Caenorhabditis elegans: one gene and its partner. The protein of the gene in region 2 interacts with the protein of the main gene of each other region in a pairwise test. Each region holds a gene or a part of one and is shown on either strand. Other genes may lie near its edges. The genes, in order: klp-15 and rol-8.

Evidence for each region.
Region 1: the proteins of rol-8 (region 2) and klp-15 interact in a two-hybrid assay, tested with the Caenorhabditis elegans proteins (one large-scale study listed by BioGRID).

The regions. Positions count from the first base shown.
Region 1 is NC_003279.8:5,576,471-5,581,321, forward strand, and holds klp-15 (Kinesin motor domain-containing protein), read right to left. Parts: upstream 2,725-4,851; 5' UTR 2,712-2,724; coding exon 2,558-2,711; intron 2,427-2,557; coding exon 1,639-2,426; intron 1,592-1,638; coding exon 1,156-1,591; intron 1,109-1,155; coding exon 723-1,108; 3' UTR 600-722; downstream 1-599. Other genes in the region: rmh-1 (RecQ-mediated genome instability protein 1 homolog), read left to right, coding at 1-167; ctnb-1 (Beta-catenin-like protein 1 N-terminal domain-containing protein), read left to right, coding at 3,196-3,252, 3,295-3,855, 3,900-4,103, 4,148-4,256, 4,320-4,564, 4,816-4,851.
Region 2 is NC_003280.10:7,542,265-7,545,867, reverse strand, and holds rol-8 (Cuticle collagen 6), read right to left. Parts: upstream 1,761-3,603; 5' UTR 1,735-1,760; coding exon 1,567-1,734; intron 1,481-1,566; coding exon 685-1,480; intron 635-684; coding exon 609-634; 3' UTR 533-608; downstream 1-532. Other genes in the region: nfi-1 (Nuclear factor I family protein), read right to left, coding at 3,330-3,491. UniProt on the Caenorhabditis elegans protein: Nematode cuticles are composed largely of collagen-like proteins. The cuticle functions both as an exoskeleton and as a barrier to protect the worm from its environment.

The DNA of each region.
Region 1 (4,851 bases), on a different chromosome or scaffold from region 2:
AAAATCAAGTCGAGGAGCTACGTGCGAAGAAATGCGAAGCCGAACGTAAACTTCTTGGATTCAAACGTCTTGATCTTCTTTTATGGGTTGAGGTTTCACCAGAGCGTAACCAAATTCCGCTCATTCTTGACGTGAAAACGATTTCTGATGCTCTCAATATTTTGTAATTATTTCTATTGCTTGCTACCTGAATTCACGTGTACCACAATATAGTCATGTATTATTTAATTGTTCTTGTTTTTTTGTTGTTTCCAAATACAATACAACTGTTTTAAGCTTTTTCTTTCGTTAAAATTTCTTTAAAACAGAAATGTAACAAAAAACATAAATTTAAACAAACTGTATGGAAAACTGTACAGTTTTCGATACAACGAGAGTTTGAAACTACAGTACTCTTTAAAGGGTCATGCCATTTTCGAATTCATCAAAAGTTCGTCGGGTCGAGACATACATACTACAGTAAGAAATGTAATATTCTCATAAAGCTCAAAACAATGTATTTATAACCCAATCAACAGCATTTAGACCGGACTATATTTTTCCTATCGGGATCTCCCTTTGTTTTGAAACAGACGATTAAAACTCAAAAAACGCAAAGTAAAATTGAAATTCGTTCATTTTGTTAATGATCGAAATATTTAGGTTACATCAGTATAAAAGGTTTGCATAAGGCAATAAAAATAACGTTATTTTACATGAAATGTTAGAATAGAATTATATGTCTAGTTCATAGACATCTGGGACACGTCACCCAAGAGAGTCCGTTGCTGCACGGCCGATCCGATGTTAGTACTGCGCATCTTTGAGGCGAATTCGATGCTTCTCTTGGACTCTGTCGCTTGCTCGTTGCATGGATTGAGATTGACCACAACCATAGTCTTCGAGTTGCCACGTCCCAAGCAGTCCATCAGCACTTGTGTCAGTTTGCTGTCGCGATATGAAACATGTCCCTTCTGGGATCTTTGCTGGCTGATGCACATCTGAAGGATAGACAACGACTGGTTGATATTAGTCATCTCCTTGAACTGGTCGCCACTGACACCAGACTCCTTGGCACGTTCGGATCCTGCGAGATCCACAAGTTTGAGCTGGCACGATGTTGAAATTCCTGTATATCAATATTGTGAATTAATTATTTTTATTTTCGAAAGTTACCAGTTGATGGCTGATGAGCTGTAATCTTCCACATATAAACGGCGTGCGAACGAGACGAGCTCTCATTGCACTTTGTCGCCGCCGTCTTCCTGCCACCGTCTGCTACACGAAGAAGTCTAGCCACATCCGAGACATTGGAAATCGTGTGCTCGGAGAGCCCAATCATGGAAACCGTTTGATCGTTCAAACGAAGTTGGACAACGGCGCGGTCACTGAGAAGGTCGTATGCCACGTTGTTGTAGACTTCTAGGAAAGACAACGAGAAGTCGAATTTCCATCCAAGTGACTCGAGCTTTCTGGATTCGGCGAACAGAAATGCAGCTGCTCTCGGGATGATTCCTTCCTCTTCACCATTTCCTCCTCGCATCGTGTGAGTTTTGCCACTTCCGGTTTGTCCATAGGCAATCAATCCGACGTTGTACCCATGCAGTGACGACTGAAATTATCAATTTTCAATTATTAATATTATATTTTGAAACTAACCCGAATGAACTCCTCGACGTTCGCGAACACTTCCTTCTGCGAGAAGACTGGCGTGAAAACCTTCTCGAATTTGACCACAATTCCAGGCTTCGAGCCTTCATTGATTCTGATGGTATCGATAGCCGGATACTCAATTGCAGAACTCGAGGCGTCGGCTTCAGATTTGATCAACGGCCGAACGCGAACAGCCACACGAATTTGACCGCGTAAATCGACAACATCGTTGTGCAACTTTCTCAACTCAGCTTCCTTTTCGTTGAGCAGATCCCGGAGATCGTTGTTGTGCACACGATAATCCTCGCACTCCTCCACTTTCGCCTTGTTGACTTCTTTCAGCGTGCTCAATTGATCTTGCAGTGAAATCAGCTTGCGATCCGCTCCTTCAAGTTTGCCATCCAGGATTTGGATCTTGCTCTTCTGATGTTCAGCAAAGTCGGTAGCCTCAGCCATCGCACTCTCGAGCTGCGCAATTTTCTCTTCAAGAAGCGCCATCTTAGAAGGGAGAATAGGCTTCTGTGCCACTGGTCGGGCTCTTGTCACCGACGGCTTCAGGGAAGAAGTCGCAGTTGAGCGTTGAGTGGATGGTGGCGGTGGACGACCTGTGCGAAGTTGTCGAAACGTAGAAGCTGCCGTCAGTGTGGAAATACGGCTCGCGGTGGATTGCATCGTTGGTATGGGACGGGAACACGACGCTGGTTTGGCCATCGCTGATCGTTCTGGCAACGATGCTCTACCAGTTGCAGGCGTTGTGGGGGTAGGCAAACGAGACGGAGGACGACGAGCAGCGGCTGAAAACTCGTAATTAAAGTAGTTGTTAACAAAAAAGGTTTTAAACAAAAACAAAAACATGTTTTATTTAGAAGTGTGAACACTTTGAAATCACGAGGAAGTTATTTAAAAACACAAATGACAAATTTACCTCCAATCGTTATTCCTCCAGGAGCCGACTGTCTTGGGATTGTTGTTGAATTGGCTTCTTTGGTGGATGGCGCGGCAGCACGTCCTCTTGTGATCTTCGGCGTTGCTCCGATAGTCGACCGAAACAGGCCACTTCTTCTTCGAGCGACATTCATCGCGAAATTTGGGACAAAAATGAGGAAATCAGCCCCTTCATTGACATTTTCCCGCTCAAAGTTGAACTCCGCCTCTGAAAATTCCCGCCAAATCGAATGGATTACCGTAGTCAACTACGGTATTAGATCAAAAATTTATATCATGTTGAGCTCATCCAGAATTGTCGGATATAATTATTTTGTTGTCAAAAGGCATAAAGAATGCCGTAAAAATTATTTATAACTATAACACAGAAGGCTTATCCATAATTGCACTGATATCAGGTTATACAAACAAATATATAAAATGCAGGTCTAGAAATTATAATGTGAGCGACACTCCGATATTCCGGTGCGCGCCTTGTTTACCGTATATCTACACCAAAGTAATTGCAAAAAAAAAATTTGAAAATATTTGCTTGCGAAAATTTTTATACACTTTCTTCAATATTTTGATTTTTCTGTGGTTTTTTAAAAATATAGGTTGGTAAATGATTGTTTCCAGATGACTTCTATCGATGTAACAGAGATTATCAAATCATCGACATCTTCTTTGTATCAGGTAAATTGATATTAAATTTTTTTGATTATAAATAGTTTACAGCCAGCAAGAAAGAAATCTCGTTTTGACGATAGTGCTTCTTCTTCATCTCAAGCTGGCCAGCCAAAACCAGAAGATATTCTTGCGGCTTTGGAAGCCGATCAATCAAATTATGTGGCTCTCGACGATGTGCAAGTTAAGAAACTTGTTATTCAACTTGACAAAAAGATGCGATTAAATCGAGAACAAAGAGTTAAAAATCCAGATGATGCTCAGAAATTCATGGAATCGGAAATTGAATTAGACAAGGCAATTCAAGAAATGCATAGTCTGGCTTCTCAACCAGACCTTTATGGATCGTTTGTTGAAGTCAACGGAGTTGAAATTCTTCTTCAATTATTAGGACACGAGAATACTGATATTGTGTGTGCAACACTTAGTCTCTTGAGAGAACTTACAGACGATGATGTGATGAACGAAGGAGAAGATGGAGCAGCTGAACTTATTGAAAGTCTTGTGTCTGGATCGATTATCACAACTTTGTTAGCATGCGTAGAGAGGCTCGATGAAAGCGTCAAAGATGAAGCGGATGGCGTCCATAATGCACTCGGAGTTGTGGACAATGTAAGAAAAATCGATATTTGAAAAACAAAACAATATATTTTCAGATGATTGGTTTCCGCGATGACATTACTGAAGAATGCGTAAAGCACGGATTCACGGTTTGGCTTCTGAAAAGATGCTTTCAGAAAGGTGCATTTGATGCGAATAAGATGTACGCTTCGGAACTTCTTTCAGTCATATTGCAGACTTCTGATACTGCAAAGGCAAAGCTGACAGAGAAAATTGATGGCATCGATATTTTATTGAGAGTGAGTAGCCAAACAAAGTATCAAGAATAAATTGAACTTTTAAGACCATTGCTGTGTACAAAAAGAACGATCCAGCAAATGTAGACGAACGAGAATACATGGAAAATCTATTCAACTCACTTTGTGCCGCACTTATGCATCCGGCTAATCGAAGTACGAATTTTTTTGAATATAAACACCAAAAAAATTGCTCTTGTTCAAAATAAATGTTTTCAGAAAAGTTCCTCGACGGAGAAGGTCTTCAATTGATGAATTTGATGCTCCGAGAGAAGAAACAAGCAAGACAAAGTGCTCTGAAAGTTCTGAACCATGCAACATCAGGAGACGAGGGAATCGAAAATTGCAATAAACTTGTCGAAATGCTCGGATTGAGAACAATTTTCCCGTTATTCATGAGAACACCTTCAAAGACAAAAAGAAAGGATACGACACCTGATGAACATGAAGAACACGTTTGTACGGTAAGATTTATGTTGTGATATTATTTTGAATGTTTTAGCTTCAAAATTGGACTGGTAAATCGGACTTTCGGTTTTTCTCCTTTTTTGAACAAAAATTGAGTTTTCAAATCTGCCTTGCACTTTTTGATACTTATCGAACATATAATTAAATTAAAAATCGAAAAATCTATTTCTACGAATTACATTTTACAAAAAGTGACTAATTTATATTGTAGGAAATGTTCTTTTGATGATAAATAATAATTTTTTAGATTCTCTCTTCACTGCTGGCAGCATGTTCGGAGAAC
Region 2 (3,603 bases):
GGCGATGGTAATATTATTTATTGGCATTCCGATGTGATTATGTTTTGTTAATTGTTTGAACTAATAAATACGAGCGATCGCAACCATAGAATTCTAAAAATATTACCTAATTTTCTTACAATCCGCTTTTCTTCACTCTTCTTACACTTTCCACAATCCTCATTGCTTCTTCATTCTTTTATCATTGTCAGCACCTCATTTATAATCCGTGGATCCCGGACATCATCACGATACTCATCTATCCAGCTACGTTCCATTGTATCTCTGTCTGCTTGTCGAGTTTTTTGTCTTTTCATCTTTCCCCATCCTTTCTCCTTTAATGACTGCGCCGCGGCGCCGTATTCCAAAACTGATTATCCATGTTCGTTTGAGGGGGGAGTAGATAAGAAAGGAAAGGGAGACAGCGAGCGGAGGAAAACTTGGTAACAACAGCTGAATTTCGATTTTTGTTGGCTTCTACGCCCGGATACAGCGCACATTCCTTTCAATGTCCAGAATGTATTCGTTCACAAGAGACAAAAAATACGGAATTATTGCGAAAAAATTTATTTTTGATACGAAAAAAAGACACCCGAAACGGGCGAAATTGATCATGAAGTGGATGGTGATTAGTAGCCTGGTGGGGTACGCGGTGCTGAAAACAACAGAATTTATAGATTTTGAAAAATGTAAAAGGAAGCTTACGTGGGCAATGTCCACAGTCTCCCTTCTCTCCATTGTCTCCTGGTGGTCCAGCTGGTCCATTTGGTCCGGCGCGACCTTCGTGTCCTGGAGTTCCTGAGTCTCCTGGTGGTCCTGGTGGTCCTTGGTAGGATTGCCCGTCTGGTCCTGGGTTTCCTTTCGGTCCTGGTGGTCCGATTGGTCCTGGCTTTCCTGGTGCTCCTTGTGGTCCTGGCACCGGAATGAGGCGTCCAGCGGCTCCTGGCGCTCCCTTCATTCCGTCGCGTCCTGGTCTTCCAATTGGTCCTGGTTGTCCAGCCATACCATCGTCTCCAGACTTTCCGTCTTGTGGTGGCTCTCCTGGAGATCCCTTTGGTCCTGGTGGTCCCTTTGGTCCCATAGCTCCCATTGGTCCTGGAGCTCCAGTTGGGCAGATGATACATGGCTCGGAAGCTGGAGCTGGAAGAACCTCAGCATCTCTACCGTTCTTTCCATCATTTCCGTTTCTTCCATCCTTTCCATCATTTCCTGGTGGTCCTTCTGGTCCTGGTGGCCCAGCGGCTCCCTGGTTACATGTGCAGCAGACAGCTGCTGGCTCGGCGTTAACAGCGGCTCCGTATCCTCCATATCCAGCGGTGTTGGCACCACCACCGGTAGAGGCTCCGGATCCATAGTTTCCACCTCCGTTTCCAGATCCACCTCCTCCAGCGGAAGTCTCTGGGATCCATTGTCCGAAGAGCCAGGCTCTCTTCATACGATGTCCCATTCCCTTTCCAGCTTGAAGAGCTGTCATCTCGAGCCACATGTCACGAGAACGAGCCTATAGTAAGAAAGAAATAAAGTAGAAAATATAGAAGGAGAAATTGAAAAAAAGAAACTAATGAAAAAAGAATGAAATGAATTTACCTTGCAGTAATCGGTTTCGACCATAAGATGAGATTGGAACGACTGAACATAATTATAGAGCATTGGAAGTGTTACAACAGATGCAATTACAGCAGCAGTGGATACAACAACGGCAACAAAAGCGATGCGACGCATCTGCCGTTGCTCTTCTGTCTCTTTAACGTCCATATCTGCTTGATTGGCCGATCGGATCTTCTGCTCGTTCTCCTTCTTCTCCTTATGTAGGCGCCCCCCAAGAACTGGATAACTTGGGCGCCAAGTCCCGCCTTTCTGTGTCTTTTTGAATGAGAGAGACCGTTGTTGCGGCGCAGAGGGCCTCCGTATACAAGGACGATAACCGATTCAACCTAGGAAGAATGAGAGAAAGATACATCGAGATCCGTGTGTGTACACCTGCCATCAAATAAAGAGGTGTGAGGGACGAGTAATACTTTCATGAAAAGTTTAAAAGTTGCAATTTGCAAGTTATTCCAGAGTTCCATGAAAATCCAATCTCGATCAGAACAAGACGGTATCTGAAAAACTGAGCTTTCAAGCTGCTGATAATATGTGTTAAAATTTCTAATTGTGTAAACTTCTGAATGTCTCGAAACGACACATTTTTGTGAAATGCAATAATGCTAGTAACTTAAATTCCTCTAAAGAAATTTCAAGCGATTTTTATAGTCTTTATCCTGATTTGTTAAAATTCATACGCATAGGCTTTTGTATTTTTTTCGTGTCGAGACCGGGTACAGTAATTTTTGCCAAAATACAGTACATGGTCTCGACACGACTGAAACTTTGTAGTTACCGTATCCAGATGTTTTTCTTTCAAAAAACTTTAGTTTGCTCGTTACCAAAATTTAAATCAGAAAAACACCAAAAATTCCTAGAATAATATTAAGAAAACGCCAAAAAATTTTGTTTTGCCAATGTTTTGCCGTTGTTACGGTAGCTGCAAAGTTTCAATCGTTCCAAGACCTGGTAGTGTTTGTACAATTGCTAAATTTTGTAATAATATCTGTAAAAAAGATACCCAACTCTTCGAACTTACTGGAATCTTTTCCATCAATACATCTTCTTTTTTGTCTATCCAGTCTCTATCATTCATCTAATTGGATAAGTATGTCACTTGATTAACTGGTAAGCTGTTGTTATCATCTTCGTTTGTTTCCAGGAAGGAGACTGATAAACAAGTTTCACCCGATAAACCTATTTTCTTTTCTTCAGCTACTAACTAACTATATCATTTTTCTTTATTGATGATATGATATTCCAATTTCTTTTGAATCTATGTTGTGCTTCACGACTTGATAAAAATTCAAGATTCATTAAAATACGTTTTAAAAATTAAATAATCTGAACTACCCACACAAGAAATGCAAACATGAGGTTCAAATACGCAAAAAAAACATAAAAGGAAAACACTGGGAAACTGGAAGTGGTGATTACAATTGTGCATAGCTACGACGTTTTTTCAAAGTTTTTCAGATTTACAAGATAAAGAGGTGACGGTGAAGAAAAGAAAAGGGAAAATGTGTGGCCCCGTAAACAATTGATTTTTTTGTGGATTTTGGTTTTCAAAAGAGGTTCGGAAAAATAGATTATGACGTCACAGACGGAGAAAATGTTTTGAAGATTGAAGAAAAATGAAAATAATAAAAATAACAACTAGTTTGAATAATACTAAAGAAGGACTAGGTTTGATAACTCTAATTTTTCAATTGGTAACACGAAAGGGATAAATAAAACGAATAAAAAGATTAACAGGAATATCAAAATCATTTTTTCTCATTACGAAGAGCATGTGAAAAGTCAGTTGGCAGCTTTGGAGCATTCGGATCTTGTGGAGTATTTGAGACCGGTGCTTGATTTGCAGCTCCTAGAGATGAATTTGATGATGACGGGGAGCATGCTGGTGGAGCTCCAACGCTAACACGAATCTGGCGATGAATTACACAATTAAAAGCTTACATCTTTCGATTAATTATTTTCGTAAGGTGTTTTTCAGAATAATTATAAAAGCTGCTGATTATAAATGTTTATAAAATATCA